Caenorhabditis elegans: one gene and its partners. The protein of the gene in region 3 interacts with the protein of the main gene of each other region in a pairwise test. Each region holds a gene or a part of one and is shown on either strand. Other genes may lie near its edges. The genes, in order: T05F1.4, C34G6.3, fbxa-171 and ZC239.15.

Region 1 (4,079 bases), on a different chromosome or scaffold from region 3:
TCAGCTACAACCTTCACAGCGTCGTGCCGCCACTCCCGCCGATGCAGCTCCTCGAGAATGATCAGAATATTTTGGAAGTTATTGATAATCAGACAACTATGCAACACTTGGAAAACGTAAGTTACGTTAGTCAGAAAGAAATAATCATCATTTTTCAGTACTTGTCTAAAAAAGCGATGGAACATCTTGCTCGTCTCAAGACTGAATTGGAGCACTTGTGAACTTCTATTCTACGTGTATTATGTGTTTTAAGAGCAAATAAATAGTTTATCACAAGTTATTGAAGAAATTGTATTAATACGAATAATATGAATTGAAATCTTCATAAATTAAATTTACTAAAAATCAATCTTTGGATGCACTCATTTACAGATCGGAAGTCAGGACTTTCACCAAATGCCTATTTCCGCTTAAACATCCGTTGTTTCTTATTCATCGTTGTTGGATTCCTTTTTTCAATAATTTCAAGAGCAGTGTAATTAGTTTCCGGTGGCTAATAAAACGAGATTTCGAAGTTTTCATAGAAATATAACAATAACCCAGACGCGAACGTTTGTGTTTTTGCGCAATAAATACGGTACCCGGTCTCGACACGACATTTTTCTGTTATACAAACGGTTATGCACCTTTAAAGATTTAATTAAAGAGTACTGTAATTGCAAACTTTCGTGCTGTACTGTAGTTTTGCTCACGGTTTGTTAGAATGTATGAGTTCAAACTTGTTTTTTTTAAAGAAATAGACGGTTTCCGTACTTACATACCAACGAAGTTTTGAAATTACAGTACTCTTCAAAGGCGCACACCCGTTTTATCATACAAAAAAAAATCGTGTCGATACCGGGTACTGTATTTCTGGCGCTGAAATCGCAAAACTTCGTGTTTGGGTAAAACCATTTAGATGTTTCAAAAATAGTTTCATATGATCGCTCAAAATACAATACCCCAATGTAGACTCCGCCCATATCCAGACGAGAAATCGTGAAACTAAAGAATTGCAGAAGGAAATTTCAAAAACACGAATGAATCTTTGATGGGATTACAATGAACAAGAAGAAAAAACAATAAATTTCATTTATTGTGTTGAAAATCATGAAAATCCATATTGATTCTGAGAAAAAATAAAAATATTATAAAGATATAAAATAAAACTATCTGATAGTTTGAATACATAATGAGAAAATATCTCTAAAGCGACAATGTGACATGATTTGGTTGTATTATTAGGATTCGGCAGCTGGAGGGATGGATATTGGCTATCAGAAGTTACCAGTTCGGCTTGAGAAGTTCTTGTGGCTGAAAATTTAATTATTAGTTAATTTTCTATTTTTTTTTTGTCTTCTTACGCATGTTGTTTCCGTGTACTCTTTATATGCTTCTAGAAGAGCCTCGTGGTCCATTTTTGCCCTGCGTAACTGAAACTCGGCCCGTCGGATAGCTTCTTCGGCGTCAGCTGTAATTGGTAAAGCATTTTCAGTGCAAAATTCGTTGCTCATACCGATTCTTAATTTCCACGTTCTAGCTGCTTCTTTGTCTGTTGGTTTCAAAATAGTTCGTAAATCATTACGGCTTCCTCTTGTTGGCTCTTCTTCTTTCTCATGGTATCCATTCCGATCACTATCCCTTCCATCTCGTCTGAAAGATGGAGGGGAAAACCGGTTACGGCCTTGGTCTCGATCATTCGATGCTGAATATAGAACATTTAAGATTAATAATAATCGAATCAATAACTAACATAAAGCAGGACGTGCATCAAACGGATTATTACGGTATGTTTGAACTTGATTATGATTGGATGGACTTGGAGTACGACTATTCGGCCGATTTTGTTGGCGATAGTTGTTGAAACGATGTTCATGACGATCCTCGCTGTGATTTGATCTAAAATCCAGAAATTGATGGATAAAATTAATTTTATTAGTTTACCTTCTGTCTGGACTCAAGTGTCGATCTGATTGATTATCTCTAATATCATCACGGAATCCACCATTTCCACCACCTCGTCTTCCTCTTCCGCGTCTTTTTGAATAACCACCTCCGCGTGGAATGATGCCCCCGCCGGACATTTTTCTTGCTGAAAACAATTTTAGAATTTTTAAAAGCATGTTATTTAAACAAGAGGAAAAATAGTTGTTTTATACAAAGAATCGAATAAAACTGTTTATTTTATATTTTTTCGCTCAGAAAGCGGAATTTGTGGCTGTCGTTATTTCCGAACAATGTATTAAATGTTTTTTTTTTAAATTTTATTGATGGGCCTTTATTGATGGGAAGTAGAAATCAAAAGTTCGAATATTTCAAGCGATATTTTTTTTTATAATTCATGATGTTGAGTACACTCAAAATAAGAAAACTGCGTGGCGTGTACTGCAGAAAACCTCATATTTAGGCCCCGCCTTTTCTCCGTGAGTGGACAAGAAAAAGGCGGGGCCTAAATATGAGGTTTTCTGCAGTACACGCCACGCAGTTTTATTATTTTGAGTGTAGTTTTCCCGTTTCTCAATTATTAATTTAAAGAGCTCAATTGGGAATGCATTAAATTTCAGAGAAAACGAACTGTTTGAAATATTGTTAATTGTTTGAAACTAATGCTGCCAAATCAAGAAAATTGACAACGTTATTGGTACAGTTCATTTTTTCATTTCAGAATAAGCAACAAAAGGTGTTCATATGAATGTACTGTAGGTTAGTAAAACACTATGTTAGGTTACTCTTTGATGCAAAAAGGAATAGTTAAAAAGTTCTCAGAAGCTTTCGAATAAATTATAATAAATACGTTGCAGAAGTAACTGGGAAAGGAATGATGATCGTGATTTAAAAAAGATGGAAGAGCTTCAAAACAGGGGCTTAGAAAATGCAGTTCTATAATAATAAATTGGGAAGAGCTCAAAAATTCACAAAAAATGGTTAATGAATACGCATACAATGTCACCGCTTGTTGACCAGCACACTGAGCGGGTAAATTTTCGAGTAAGAGATCGACGATATTTCAGCGGATGGAGCACGGTAGGGAAAGTAGAATAGTTATTTAAAAAGTTGATATAAAAACGTAGTGTACAAAATGAGAAGGGAAATGGGGAAAGGGGGTGAGATGAGATGATATTCAATGACGCGTGCGGTGATGCAGACGGTATGGATCGAATTTTGGATGAGCATTTGGCTCAGGAGCTTTGCCAAGAATTATTGTCTGAAAAATGTATAACAATTAAACGACGAGGAAAACGGAATCTCACTTGGATAACCCATTCGGAAGTGACTCTACTTGCTCCAATAGTATCTGCATACTCCATGACTTCGTCACGGAAAGTTCCATCAACTAAAACAACGTCAAATTTGAGACCTGTTTCGTCAAGAGTTTCCCAGTCTCCGTCGACTACATCAGCACCGAGAAGCTCAAGAATAGGTTTCCAAATCTCGATGAAAGTTCCTCCGGGTCCAGTTTGTGTTACTTCACGAGCTGAGTGAGTTGAGTGTACATAAATTGTTGTTCCTTTCAAAAGCTCTGATGGATTTTTGGGCCTTAAATGTTTTCGATGATCAGAATTTTCAGAATCGTTATAAAAATCAAAAATCTAACGGAATTGAAATCATTCATCATGAAAGTTCACTTACGCTGGCATATCCTGAGACTCGTCAAAAATTGAAGCACCTGCAGGAAGAACATAGTCCGTATAGTCGACACATTTCCCCTGTTCACCACATGCTTGTAACCATGTATTGTTAACACAAGGAACACCACGAGCTAAAGCTGCCAAGTACTTGTGAGTACGATAGTACGTATCAGAAATCAGCAATGGTTCGTAGTTGGAGTAACGCTCTTGGAAGCTCTTAAAATAAAATGATTAGAATGTTATTTGTAAGACGTTATCTTACATTAAGCTGCTCCGTGACGATCCCACCATTCTGAGTAATGAAGTTCATCAGATTCTTCTTTTTGAACATTGAAGGAACACTCGCAGAATTTGAACGATTGGCCGAAGTTAGCATGAAGACCTTTCCGGTGAAAATGTTCTTTCCAATAGCTTCCTCGTTCATTGGCAAAAGCTTTTCTTCTTCTTCAGCCGGACTTGCTGATCCTCCTC
Region 2 (4,081 bases), on a different chromosome or scaffold from region 3:
AGTGCTTTGAGTTAGCTGGATGATAAAAATATGCAACCAAATGGTCACATTTTTACTGATTAAAGTAATAAAACAAATAGAAACACTTCAAAAATATAACACTAACCCTTGCTCCATCATCCCATCTGTGAATCTGCTTGCACATAATTTTTGCTGCTTCTGATGGAGCACTTGCACATGGATCTTCTTGTGCTTGTAAACATAATGGTAATGTTGTAAAGATTATGGGTATCAAAAACCTCATGGTTCAAGGCGTAGAAACCTGAAAATCAAGAAAAATGGAGAACCTTTTTCTTACATAAATTTAAAGTAGAAGACGAGGAATTTTTGTATGATTTTATATTTTCAAATATATACCAAACCCAAACTAAAATATAAAATCAAAAATCAAAAACAATATCATTAGGATTTTCGGGAAAAAATAAAAATAAAATGAATTGCTCAAATTTCAACAGTTCTGAAAAGACTTTTAAAAAATTATTGAAAAGTTTGTTCAACTTTTAATTTTGATGGTATTTTCTAGATTCCATTGGAACATTTTTGGTGGTTAGTGAAGTAGAGAAACATCGAAATAATATCAGAAAGAAGAAAACTAGTCAATTTTTTGTCAATTTAATTGACAACTAAACCCAAAAAACATTTGAAAATTACTGGTTCGATTCAGGGCAAACTGATGAAGTTAAAATGAAGACGAGGCGATTCTCCGTCCCTTTTTCATTTTTTTGTAACAGTTTTTTGTCTTTTACCTTCATCTCTTCTTTTTTATTTTTCGTTGTTTTCTGTGAAATTCGCTGATCTCTTTTTCTTCTTTTGATAATAGTGATAAGAAGTTGATGATGTCATTAATTTCCGAATGACAAAGAATTGGACGAGGAACTGACCTGGTGTTCTCTTTCTGAAACACTTGGGAAAAAACTGAAAACCAAATGAGACTGCGCATGCCGTTTGTAAAATACTTAGCGAATATTTTGGATGCATTTTGCAAGTGGCGAACAATATTTCACAAGTATTTTTCACTACTCTTCCTCGTGCCCTTCCAGCAGATTTTTAATGCAACATTTGTTCTTACAATTCCCGGTTGCTGAACAGCCCTGGCGGGTGGCCCCGTGTAATGTCTTGCTTCAAAATCAGATACTTGCAACCACAAACACCGAACTTTAAAAAAACTTTTATTACAATACAATATTGAATTGTTCCCTTTCGATTCAGTTTCTCGGACAGTTGCTCATTGAGCAGCACCAGCTCCTGGACCAAAATCCTCGTATCCATCGTCCATCTTTGTCTTCTTGCCGTCCTCCTTCACAAGAACATCCATTCCACTTGGCTCGTTTTGCTGAAATTGTTCATATTCTCAACTTTTTCCAAAAGAAATTTTTAGCAGTGTGTTTTCCTAATCAACTTCAAAATCGTAACTGTTACCTTATTAGGATCATCCTCCTTCTTTGCATGATCCTTCGAGGCATCTTTCTTCGGTGTGGCAACAACCTTCTTCTCGGCTTCTTCTTTTGCCTTCTTCTCTTTCAACTCCTTTGCCTCCTTTGCCTTGTCCTTCTCATTCATATCCACAGAAGTTTGGGATCTTGAAACCGACAAATTTGAAGTCTTCTTCTTCGTTTTCGAAGTTTTCTTCTTGTCAGCACAGTCTTTCTTCGTGTTTTTACTCTTTCCAGTCGTCATTTCTTTGTTTTACTTCGATGAATCGAAAGTCTGAAAATGGTCCGTTGATATCAGTTGTTAAGCAGCAAAAATATGTGACTTCCGATTTGCCGAAAGAAATCAATTGTTTTGTTGAAACAAAACATTAAGCAGAGCATCAAGCCAATTTCAAGCTGTCTGAAATCGCACGTTTCTAAAGAGTAAACTCACTTTTTCAACCAGAAGAGAGCTGATCAGAAATAACAATTAATGATTGTGATGTGGATTGAGATGAAGGAAATTTTTTTTTCTGGATGATGACTATCAGATATTTTTTGTAGAACACGTAGAACACATGTTACACGTTATTTTTAAATTAAAAATGTTATTGTATTTTTAGAGAAATATATTTTCTATGGGGCCGATTAATACATTTCATACGGTTGAGTCGTGAAAGGCACTTCTCACTTTTCTCATCACTTGCCTTCTTACTATTAGCAAAACGTCGTGACTTCATATCAAACTCCTGTAACTTAATAAAAAATAATAGTGATAACATTCAAAAAAAAATTCTAAAGTTTATATGAATTTTTGAAAATTGGAAAAATCTCACTTTTTGCCACTTGTTTGGAAGTCGTCGATGAAAACAATGTTACCTTCGATTTTTATGGTCTATTATTGCTTTTAAAATAAATTTTCAAACACTGTAGCACTTTCCTTCGAATGCCCTCCAATTCAAAGAGCGTGTATTTTGTTCAGCCTTACAATTTTTCACAGCATTTCCAATTTTTGATCTTCTAGAGATTCTTTTATCAATCTTCGTCAAATTTAGATTGGATGTTTCATTGATCTTAAATTGAAATAGGTGTAATGAAACTACAGTAAAAAAGTTAAATTAAAAATATAATAGTCTAAAGAAATCCTATTTTAGATTCTACATATTGAATGATGAGTAGTTTTTTTTCAAATAAAAATATTTATGCAGTGAAAATGGTAAATAATATATTTAAAAAAGAAAACAAAAAGACAATTATCACAATTCAAAGATAATTATCACAATTCAAAGAATTTCACACAAAATACACAAGATGGAGGGAAAGGCTATTTGGGGAAAAAGCAAAGTACCTAGATGACAAAAAAATTATTACGGGTTTACAAAATTTTCTAAAAATTTTACTTGATGAGCATATTTAAATTTTAAATATCAAGCTGTTTCAATTGAACATTAAAAAAATGAAACTCCATGCAAATTAGTTTGTAAACTCGTGTTTGAGAATCTAATACATATTTAAATTATTGACTTTCGACAATCCTCTGCGTTTCACAGAATTTCTGATATATTTCACTCTTCCTTATCAACTCGTCATGTGTTCCCTTTTCCACAATTTTACCCTCACTGACGATCGCAATGACGTCACTATTTTGAATTGTGCTCAACCGATGAGCAATGACAAGACACGTGCGACCTTGTTTTGCGGCGTCCAATGCTTCTTGTACAATCTGTAAACAGTGAATAAAACGATATTCTTCAAAGTCAATTTGCTATTTCAATATTTTTCATACAAACCTTTTCACTTTCCGTATCTAATGCACTAGTTGCTTCATCCAAAAGTAAAACAGAAGGAGATCGAACAAGTGCCCGTGCAATGGCAATTCTTTGTTTTTGACCACCCGAAAGTTGAGTTCCTTTCTCTCCGACATGAGTATCATAACCCTGAAATTTTTAGAATGAGTTCTGATTTATGAAAATATCACCCTACATCTGGCAATCCTAGAATGAAATTGTGAATATTTGCCATTTTGGCAGCTTCAACAATTTCTTGATATGTAACATTTCGATTTGTTCCGTAGCAAATATTTTCTCCAATTGTGCAATCAAACAACGTTGGCTCTTGACTTACAATACATACTTGTTCGCGAAGTGAACTGATGTTTAGGTTACGGATGTTATCACCATCAATCATCTAAAATTGTTTGCAGTTAAAACCAATCAGAAAGAAAATTGACTCACAATCATTCCTTTATCTTGATTATAGAATCTCTCCAGCAGTCCCATAATTGTAGATTTTCCACATCCTGAGTGCCCGACAAGTGCAACAGTTTTACCGGCTTTGATCTAAAATAAATATATTAATATTTGTTTTTACAGGTGGGTTAAGAATTGTAGGATCATTGTCTTTTTTTTTTTTCCTATTTTTAAAATTTCAGTAAAAAAGTCAGAGGGCAAGTGCATAAACATTCGATACAAAAACGCAAAAAAAATCCATATCCAGTTTTTAAAAGTCAAGGCTTATTGCTTTTTACCCTAGGATTGCACTACTGTCATATAGAAGTCAGGTATCAAATTAAAACCTACATCAAGAGTGAATCCTTGTAAAACCTTGGTATCCTTTCTTGTTGGATAATTGAAAAATACATTTCTGATTGAAATATTTCCAGTTATCGG
Region 3 (5,820 bases):
ATGCCCGTGAATCGTACACCAATAATTCCAGAGTGAGAAGAAGTTTCTTCATTAAAACATAAATAGCCACAATTTCCGTTTCAATTAAAACAATTATTATTTCTGACTGCTTATCTTCTGAAAATTAATAAGTTTAAAACACAAATATTTCAAGACCAATATTCCAAGTGGCTGTAACTATACCAAACAGTCAAATTGCAATCCGCGCGTGTATCCTTTATGAGCATCTTCACGGGAAGATGCTTACAGTGGCATATAGAAACTTCTGCGACAAAGTTGGGAATGGTGTCATTGAATTTGAGTCTTTTGAGTTTTGGTTTAATCAATTCCAAACTGGGAATCATGATTTGAGATATGATATTGAGTAATAAAAAAAACAATGATATTTGGACTATGGTTAAACTTTAGAAATTCAGGAATGCGCTTGAACCTCGTTCTTTGGCAGAAATCACTTCTACAGCCATGGCTTCTGGTGTGCTTTAGTAGAGCTGTAAGTCTTGTGAAGGTTGTAGGGAGTAATTGGGATATTCAGATCCGAAAGCAAATCAAGGAAATGTTTGGATGGAGCTCAGAGCAGCATATTGTCCAAATTCGATCTATTACAAGCTGAACAGTATTGTTTATGTACTGTTGAAAAATATATGTATGATTGCTACAACATAAAAGAGTTAAAAGTTATTTTATAAAAATCCGAATCGATAAAATTATATTATCCGTTTAACTTGAAATGAATTAGGAGTAATTTTCAAAAGGAATTTTTTGTTGTGTCGTGTGTAATTTATTATCGGCCATTGATTGCTTTGATATCCTGGTACGAATACATTTGCAATTTCAATTGGATCGAAGTCGTCGGATTCGAAGTTTGCATATTTGAAAGTGTCGGATTTCATCAAAATCTGAAACTATGTTAATTGTTTATACTTGAAGCGTAAAGTCTGCAGCAAATGCCTAAGCCTAAGCCTAAACTCCTAAGCTCAAGAGTAGTATAAGTCCCACACGACACCCCCATCCCACACCAGACCCCCCTATTGACCTCTCCCAAAATGGGGTGTCCATCTATGGATGTCCATTTATGGATGGCCATCGTTTTTTATTGATCTGTTTTTTTCGTTTATCATGGAACTGTTTTTTATTAGGAAAAAATGTTGTACTGTATGGGAGAAAATCTGAAATTAAAAAATATTTGAAATCGAGTATGTGGAATAAAATGTTTTCATTTACACTTTTAATATGTTTCATTGTGCACCCCTCCTCTCTATTACTCCGCCCCACTGCACAATCGAAAATCTCATAGTCAGTCTAAAGAAATTTAGAACATCATTATCCAAGTTGACACTTTCACGACAACAAGCCCCTACACTGAAAGTCATAACTCCTGGCCCTTCATATGGAGCTTGCAAGAAAACTTAGGTCATCCGAAAGCTGTGTGCACTATTAAAGAAATTTCTTTAGAATGAGTTTTTTGATTGTGCAGTGGGGCGGAGTAATAGAGAGGAGGCGTGCACAATGAAACATATCAAAAATGTAAATGAAAACATTTTATTCCACATACTCGATTTCAAATATTTTTTTAATTTCAGATTTTCTCCCATACAGTACAACATTTTTTTCTAATAAAAAACAGTTCCATAAAAAACGAAAAAAAAAACAGATCAATACAACAGAACAATAAAAAACGATGGCCATCCATAAATGGACATCCATAGATGGACACCCCATTTTGGGAGAGGTCAATAGGGGGGTCTGGTGTGGGATGGGGGTGTCGTGTGGGACTTATACTACTCTCAAGCGTGAGCCTAAGTCAAAAACTTCAGACTTAAGCTTCTTGGTGACCTATACGTCTCTCTGTGAAAATTCGCGTTGATCGGCCAACTGGAACCCTCTCAAAAATTTTAAAAAAAAACGGGAAATTCTTGAGCCTAAATACCGTCAGTGGCGAGCGTTAGATTGGCAAGCGTCAGCTCGCCAAGCCTAAGCCTGAGCCTAAACCTAAGCCTGAGTTTAGAATAAGATTATGCTTAGAACTGACCCTAAGACTAAACCTAAACCTAAGTCTAAGCCTAATCCTAACCCCTGAACCATTCAAAACTTACATCTCGAATTTTAATCGCATCATCTTTTGCGAAAAGATCCACAGTAACGTCAAAATAAGCTAGATGGAAGAACTTTTCAATGTTCATGGAGCAAGTGTCACTGTCAAAAATTAAAGCTTTTGCATTTTTCAGCTGAACTGTATCCATTAATTTTGTGCTATGGCCGTCTGTAGAAGAGGCAAAAAAGTGAACAACTTCGAGCGTTTTAGGCTCGAAGTACGGCAGGATTGCGTCGATTTCTTCGTTTTTCAATTCACAAACTAGTTTTCGGACTCGTAATTTGTTCATCGATCTCAAGACGTTCAATACATCGTTGAAAATGTTTTCCCGAATTTGCTCAGACATTTGTGCTTCAAAAAGTACGGAAAATGTTCGTGCGTCTTTAGTCACTACTGTATTGAAATCTTGAAGCGCTATTTTCCGATAATCTGTTCCTTTGATTTGAATTTTTCTGTTCTCGTAGATAATTGTGCATCCGTTTGGTACTGGGCAGTAGTTGACGGTTCTTTCGTTCAAAAATAGTCTTGCTTCATCTTTTTCGAAACATATTCCCATGGCGTTAAAATGAAATTCTTGTTGGTCAATTTTGTCACGGAGAATGCGCGAAACTTTTCTGGCCACGAATCTTGAAAAATTTTGGATTGAAACCATATTGACTTTTAGATGAAATTTATGCCATTTGAGAAATCGTTAAAAACATTTTTGGTCAAACATTTGTTTTAATTGTTTTTTGAAAACTTCCCAAAATTCATTTTTTCGGAGACATTTCAAGGTGTTTCTATAGTTGTAAAACTTCATAAAAAGACGATGAAAAAAAATACTTTGATGGAAAAACTCATCTGAATAATTCATATCTACTTTATTGCTACAATTTTTGCATAAGGACCTTTTTTGAATTACATGGGGTGTGTATAGAAGTCTATGACCACACGGTAAATATCATACTTTCTTTATAAAATCTCACCTATCGCAAAGTTCCATTTTGGCACAAATTTCATTCCAAACTTTTTCCGGCATATTCTGCAGGGAAGGTTCTTGTGGCTCACTGAAAAACATTAAAATTTTCTGTAAAGAAGCTTAGCACTTACCCATTAAAATATTCGACGAACTTCCTGCACCACTCTTTTTCGGAAATTTTGTGTGGAACGTCTGATGGTGGATTGATCGAGCAACGCAGATCATTGGAATTTCGTACTTCAATCTGCCTATTATCGTCCTGCAAGTCATGATTACCATTATAAAATCTATGAAACCAATATTCAAATTCTTTGTAGGCAATCTTCTCCTTCAAGGTGTTGCAAATTGTTTCATAGGCTTCATTCACAGTCTTTTTCTGGAGCACTTCGTAGAAAATACAAGATCGAATGAAGGTTTTGGAGTAAGGTTTTTGAGCGGTGGAAGTCATTTTGATATGATGCGCGCGGCAAAAAAATTACATCAAAATTTTAGACTTAGCAATATATCTTCACCGAATTCTTCAGTATTGACATTGGAGTTAGAGGGCACTTGCACTGCTGGAGAGTTAGTCAGAGAAAGGAGAACAGTCGAGCATGTTGTTTCGCAATAAAACATTTTTTTTTGTTGGGTTTATATGTCCTTCAGCAATTGCATTCTTGAACTGGCCTAAATAAGATGTCCTTGCAGATCCGGAAACAAACTGAGGGGAATGGAACTCTGTGCAACTACTTGCTCCACCTTCATATATTTCTAGCTGATGAACTGTAAAATAAATTTGTTTGTATTAGTTTTACCAACGTCTCTTTGACACTCGCCCATTCAAATAGTTACAACACCCTGTTCCATCCTCAGGGTTTTTCAGGATTTTCAAATTTTCGGCGATATGGGCCTACCGGCAAGCTTTTTCGAGATTTTTCCAGATATTAATGGTGTACCAATTTCCCAAACATTGAGTGGAAATTCCAAAAAATGGAAGACGATTGTTATAAGAAATGGTAAGAATATGATCTTAGTTACATTTTTGCGCATATTTCATCCCAATGGACGTTCTTGAAAATTTCTCACAATTTTCTGAAACAAACAAAAGATTTCAAACATTTTTGTGATATATTGCTAGCCACATTCGTCTAATTTTCCAAGTCACATTGTTCCAGTTTTGATATTGCTAATTTGGTAGACCTAATTCTGGTTTGATTCCTCAGTCTCTCTAGTCTCTTGGCGTTGTTGTATACGAACTGATATTATCTCCTCTGATCAAAAACCAAGTGTATTTGGCGAAAACACGCAATCCAAATAGGGATATAAATACGAAGAGAAGAAATTACCCCAAAAAGATCAGGCAAATCTACGGCAAATCAGTAAAGACTTTTTGTATTTTTCGTGGTTTTACTTCTCGATTTCAATTCAATTTATTTTTTGAAAGACTATTTTAAAGTGGTTCCGTCTATTTGTTTTTACATATGTAGTTTGGCTTTTGATCTTCTCCTTTCTAAAAATTGTATTCAATATTATGAGTTACTTTCCCTGCATTTTTCATTAAAAAGTATGTATTTGCCGCACATTCTCCATTCGTTCGACTTATCATCATTTTTTCAGAGAACATGAAAAAAGAATTTCTGCAATTCTTCAGTCTCTTTGTCGTACAACTTCGTTTTTATCTCCCGTGTTAAGAAAGAGAATCAAACAGAAAAACGCAAACAATAAAATTGATTTTAAAAAAACCGCTGTGACAACTCGTTTTCTCATAGCGCGTTGAAAAAATGCTTCTCGTTGTAATAGTTTATTCCAATTTAAATTTTTTTGATTTAGCAAGAAACGACTTTCTTAGTTCGTTTTTCAGATTATCCGAAAAACTAAACATTAGTAAAAATGGATGATCAGCTTGAAAAAAATTTAGAAGTAGGAGAATGGAAAAAATGTGAAGAAAAAGCAGAATCTCCGTGAGTTGTTTCGCAATTTTTCAGCAGAGTGAATTAAGTTTTTGTTAATTTCAGAGTTGGGAACCCTTTTCTACTTCATTATGATCACTTAAATCTTTGTGTTTGAATGCAAAAACACTGTTACTAATTAAGAGCGTAGTTTTTTAGGGAGGACCAACTAATTATGTGGGGATGCAAATTACACCAATAATTCCCAGGTGAGCAAAAATTCTTACATTAATACAGAAACAGCTGCAGTTCTACTACAATGGAACAATCAGTTGTTATATATACCGTATATTCTCTATTAGTGTTGTCGATTCAGCCCTTCGAGGTCAATCTCGACAACCTTTTTAACAGTGCTCTGATATAGGTTTCTACGGAATAGCCCACTATTCTTAACCTATATCAGCTCGACCGCACCGTTGAGCATTACTCCAATTATTATCTCTTCATTACATTTTATTTCATTCAAATCCGTTCAGTATTCGCCGAGATATAAATATATCTATAAATATTCGTATTCAAATCACGCGCCAACACCTTATGGTAGCGCGCTCGCGGCGAGACCCACGCGTCTCTAACTTCTTGGCATCGCGCCAAGTCCACCGACCGCCCGCGGGGAGTTCGAATATGTCCGTCAATTGTGACGTAATTGAATACCAATTCCGGTGTAATCTCCACGTATCGTTTTCCCTCACGTGCAGATATACCATCATGTTCGTTAGATTTATATCTTTAATAACAGTTTGAACTATTACCAGTCTAAATGACCCATTATCATCATTTCACCATCATATTCGCCAGACGAGGGTTTTTCACCATCTTAAGAACTTCTAATATCATCCTTA
Region 4 (4,346 bases), on a different chromosome or scaffold from region 3:
CATCCGGATTCGTCAAGTTCCAGCTGAAAATTTTCAAGTTTTCAAATCAGGTAAGAAATCAATATCATGAAACCCCTGTTCCAGATTCCAGCATAGTTTTAAAAATGCTATCGAGTTTCATTAATGTATCTTTTGAAGTTTTGAAAATAGTTCCGCCAACGTCTAGTTTAACAGTTTCACTCATTTTTGAAAAGTTTTTGAGAGGAAAAAGAGAGAAAAACGGAGTGAAATTGTGTTATCAGTGAGCCGATCGATTTTGAATTATCAGTGTTGCGAAATTTTGTTTTTTTTTTTACAAAAAAATCAAAAATGTTAAGAAATAAAAAAAAACTTCTGAATTGAAAATATTGTCAAAAAATCCACAAAATGAGTTAATTATCTCTTTCTCTGCTTCTCCAAATACAAATATTGACCAAACTCCCCAATCATTTTTTCTAATTTTTCCAAAAAAGTTGCATCCCGAATTATCCGTCCGCCTCGATTAATTCGAAGATTGTGCGGAAATTGACTATAATATCCATTCTCGGTAGATTTCCACTTTATCCTAGCTTTCCATTTTCGAGAAGGTTCGTCTTCACTCAATCGCTCTTAATCGATTACGGTAATCAGACCCTTTCACATTCAAACATAGTTTTGAATAATCCATCACATTTTATTAATGTCGGTCTTGAAGTTTTAAAAATAGTTCCGCCGATGTCTAGTTTAACAACCTTGTTCATATTTTAAAATAGTTACGGTTTGAGGCACAGATGCAACCAAACTCAAAAAATAAAAATAAGAATGTTTGTTATCAATCAGACTTTGAACTTATCCATGTGTTTTGTGTTTAAAGATAAAAAAACAAGCTTACTAAATTATAATTTTTTAAGCTTCTAAATTAGAAATATTGTCGAAAAATCCATAAAATAAGTTAATTATCTATTCCTCTGCTTCTTCAAATACTCATCAAACTCCCCGATCATTTTTTCCAATCGTTCCAAAAATGTTGCATCCCGTATTATCCGTCCACCTCGATTAATTCGAAGATTGTGTGGAAATTGACTGTAATATCCATTCTCAGTAGGTTTCCATTTTATCCTTGCTTTCCATTTGCGAGAAGGTTCGTCTTCACTCAATCGCTCTGAATTGACTATTTTATGAGGATAATGTACAAAAAACTTACGAAAATAAATATCGAACTGATGTGAATACTTTTCCATGAACTCGTAAAGATTAAAGTTATAGGGAATCGACATATCATTCCCAACCATGCAAAATTCAATTATGAGCATTGGCTGTAAAAATTATATGTAGAGCTGAAATTTTTTGAAGAAACTGGTTAATTATTTTATGATTGACAAACGCCATACAGTGTGGCCTTACTATTAGGACTACAGCTTGCACTGGCCTATAGTTTAAGCCACGTCCTAGCCAGGGACTGTGGCCGATAATACAGTCATGGATTGCTCCACTCTCCAATACAGACTGGGTGAACCTAGGGGATGAGTCTAAACTTGAAACCGCAACCTCTAGCTTTCTAGCAGCTACCACTACCGACTGAGATATTCCTATGAATTTGAAAAACTACATTATTTTATCGAAACTCACCTTCTGTTGAACAGCAAGAATTTGAAGAAATTGTTCATCGCTTTCAATAAATCGAAGTTTTATCTTTGGAGCTTCAACAAGCTCAATCTTTGAATTGCACAACTCAATGAGTCCGTCGAGCAAATAGAATTGAGCTTCTACTAGCAGCTCCTTCAGTTTCAATTCACAATTGGGTAGAACCACGTCGCCGTCTCGCATAAAGTTCAGTATCAAGTCGAAATTTTTCGGAGACCGATCAATAAAAATACTCCCAGATTCGTCAATTTTTAGCTGAAAATTTGAAAATTTATCGGGAAATTTTTGGAAAAATCGGACCCCAATGTCACTCTCCAACATAGTTTTGAAAAATCCATTGAACTTTGTTAATGTAGATCTTGAAGTTTTGAATATAGTTCCACCAACGTCCAATTTCACAGTTTCACTCATTTTCGAAGAGTTTTCTAGGGGAGAAAAAGAGAAAGATGGAGTAAAATTTTGTTATCAGTTATAAGATTATCGATCAGTACATATTTCAAAATGATTTTTTTTAACAAAAATTAAAATTTCCAACAACTAAAAAAGATAACATTTATTTCTTTTTTCAACAATAAAATAGCCTTTTAGTGCAGGCATGTAATACACAAACACTAAAACCAAAAAAATTATTGAAAAAACAAAAAACCATGATAAATCATATTTTTTAGTGTTTGCTCTTTGATCAATTTGGACCTTTTTTGTAGAATTAAGTTTATCACAGCACATTAAGACTAGACCATCCAACCAGTAGAATTGAGCTTCTGCCATCAATTCTCTCAGCTCTCTTTCATCTTCTGGCAGTGGCAGATCACCATCTCTCATTAAATTCAGAATCAATTCAAAGTGTTTCGGGGACCGATCTATGAAAATGCATCCGGTTTTTTCAATTTTCGGCTGGAAATTTTCACGTTTTTTTTTGGAAAAAAACAACGATTTTCATACCCCAGTTTTGCATTCCAACATAGTTTTGAAAAAGCTATGGAACTTTGTTAATGTATCTTTTGAAGTTTTGAATATAGTTCCGCCAACGTCTAGTTTAATAATTTCACTCATTTTTGGAGAGTTTTTGAAAAAAATTGTAGAGGAGAAAAAGAGGAAAGTGAAATGAAGGTTTGTTATCAGTGAGTCGATCGATTTGAAGTTATCAGTGTTTTCAATTGATTTTTTTCCATACTATAATAGGTTTACGTTCGGGTCTGTTCACATTTCTATGATAGCATAATACAATGAAAATTGCGTTTAATAGCCACTAAAATAGGTAGCATTTACTAGATTTTTCAACAATAAAATAGCTTTTTAGTGCAGGGATGTAATACACAAATACCAAAAAAATTAATGAAAAAACAAAAAAACGAGTATAACTATTATTTTTAGTTATTGGTTTTTGATTTTGAATCATTCGGAAGTTTATTATAGTGCTAAGTTTCACACCGCACTTATTGTACAGTCCAAACATCTGATAGTAATTTGCTTCCGCACACAACTCTCTCAATTCCTTCTCAGTTTCGGGCAACCACAGATTCCCATCTCTCATTAAGTTCAGAATTAACTCGAAGTGTTTCGGGGAACGATCAATAAAAATGCATCCGGATTTTTCGAGTTTCGGCTGAAAATGTTCAGGTTTTTGGAGAAATATAGTCAGCAACATTATACCGCAATATCACTTTCAAACATAGTTTTAAAAAAGCTATCGAGTTTCGTTAATGTATCTTTTGAAGTTTTGAATATAGTTCCACCAACGTCTAGTTTAATAATTTCGCACATTTTTTGGAGAGTTTTTAAAAAAATTGTGGGGAAGAGAAATGAAGAAAGTGAGATGAAGTTTTGTTATCAGTAAGTCTATCGATTTGCAATTAACAGCCATTTTTATATTTTTAACAAATTTTAGGAAATAGTGGCGGTGGAGTTTTTTTCAAGACATGTATAGAAAACTTTCCGATTTCCGCTTTTGCAAATTGTGCAAAATTTCTGAAGGAATTTTTATAAGAAAAAACGGATGACACATATTTTTGACATTTTTTCTCGTTTTCAGCAAGAATTCTAATATATTTTTTCTCATTTTTCATGTAAGATACGTGTAATTTTGCAGTTACAACTGAAATTTCAAAATTTCCAATAAAAAATGCAATACCTCAGTCGAAATTTTTCGGCAATTGAAGTTTTTGGCAGCTTCACAAAAAATTGAAAAATTTCCCATATTTTTTGAAACCAGCAGTTTCCGAAGATTCCAATTGCCAAAAATTTTCAAAACACTACAGTTTAAAATTGGGGTTATAACTTCATTTTTTTTTGTTTTTATAATCATACAGTGTGGGAAAGTTCTATAGGACCCCCCCTAATTTGAAGGTTTGAGGAACTTCCGAAAATTTTTTCGAAAAACTGCTAATGCCGTTCGTTTTTAAATTGAAAAAAACCTATATAAATTTTTTTCCAGAAGTTTATCTCAAAAACTGAGGTCGCGCTGGAAAAAACGTCAAAATCCAGTGTGAAACTTCTATAGGACCCCCCGTTTTTTTTCACGATTTTTACTAAAATCAACAGATTTTGGAATTTTTGACAAAGCTCAAATCAAGTTTGAGTTAGAAATGAGTTCATATAAGCAGTTTTGACTTTAAAAAATTAATACGAAATGTTCTCGTGGGATCTCCAGACTGGTTCTGATTCTTCCGATCTTTGATGTTCAAGTCTGTTTCAAGCTTCCTGGTGCTCTCGGTAATGCCAAAACTTGATAAACTCTCTTTAAC

The links.
Region 1: the proteins of fbxa-171 (region 3) and T05F1.4 interact in a two-hybrid assay, tested with the Caenorhabditis elegans proteins (one large-scale study listed by BioGRID).
Region 2: the proteins of fbxa-171 (region 3) and C34G6.3 interact in a two-hybrid assay, tested with the Caenorhabditis elegans proteins (one large-scale study listed by BioGRID).
Region 4: the proteins of fbxa-171 (region 3) and ZC239.15 interact in a two-hybrid assay, tested with the Caenorhabditis elegans proteins (one large-scale study listed by BioGRID).

The regions. Positions count from the first base shown.
Region 1 is NC_003279.8:9,629,380-9,633,458, reverse strand, and holds T05F1.4 (NAM-associated domain-containing protein), read right to left. Parts: upstream 2,072-4,079; 5' UTR 2,064-2,071; coding exon 1,924-2,063; intron 1,879-1,923; coding exon 1,733-1,878; intron 1,685-1,732; coding exon 1,496-1,684; intron 1,451-1,495; coding exon 1,344-1,450; intron 1,294-1,343; coding exon 1,264-1,293; 3' UTR 1,058-1,263; downstream 1-1,057. Other genes in the region: T05F1.5 (BTB domain-containing protein), read left to right, coding at 5-116, 159-221; Protein hsr-9, read right to left, coding at 3,101-3,184, 3,231-3,516, 3,610-3,824, 3,871-4,079.
Region 2 is NC_003279.8:5,894,484-5,898,564, reverse strand, and holds C34G6.3 (Non-histone chromosomal protein HMG-14), read right to left. Parts: upstream 1,948-4,081; 5' UTR 1,867-1,947; intron 1,708-1,866; 5' UTR 1,678-1,707; coding exon 1,420-1,677; intron 1,334-1,419; coding exon 1,226-1,333; 3' UTR 1,160-1,225; downstream 1-1,159. Other genes in the region: tyr-4 (ShKT domain-containing protein), read right to left, coding at 107-244; pgp-2 (ABC-type xenobiotic transporter), read right to left, coding at 2,929-3,135, 3,203-3,349, 3,396-3,599, 3,647-3,751, 3,992-4,081.
Region 3 is NC_003283.11:17,562,506-17,568,325, forward strand, and holds fbxa-171 (F-box domain-containing protein), read right to left. Parts: upstream 3,499-5,820; coding exon 3,182-3,498; intron 3,139-3,181; coding exon 3,058-3,138; intron 2,719-3,057; coding exon 2,094-2,718; intron 897-2,093; coding exon 705-896; downstream 1-704.
Region 4 is NC_003280.10:3,222,631-3,226,976, forward strand, and holds ZC239.15 (BTB domain-containing protein), read right to left. Parts: upstream 2,102-4,346; 5' UTR 2,014-2,101; coding exon 1,903-2,013; intron 1,858-1,902; coding exon 1,588-1,857; intron 1,275-1,587; coding exon 1,163-1,274; intron 1,121-1,162; coding exon 915-1,120; 3' UTR 703-914; downstream 1-702. Other genes in the region: ZC239.13 (BTB domain-containing protein), read right to left, coding at 1-23, 74-184; ZC239.16 (BTB domain-containing protein), read right to left, coding at 2,140-2,496, 2,545-2,655; ZC239.17 (Potassium channel tetramerization-type BTB domain-containing protein), read right to left, coding at 2,852-3,250.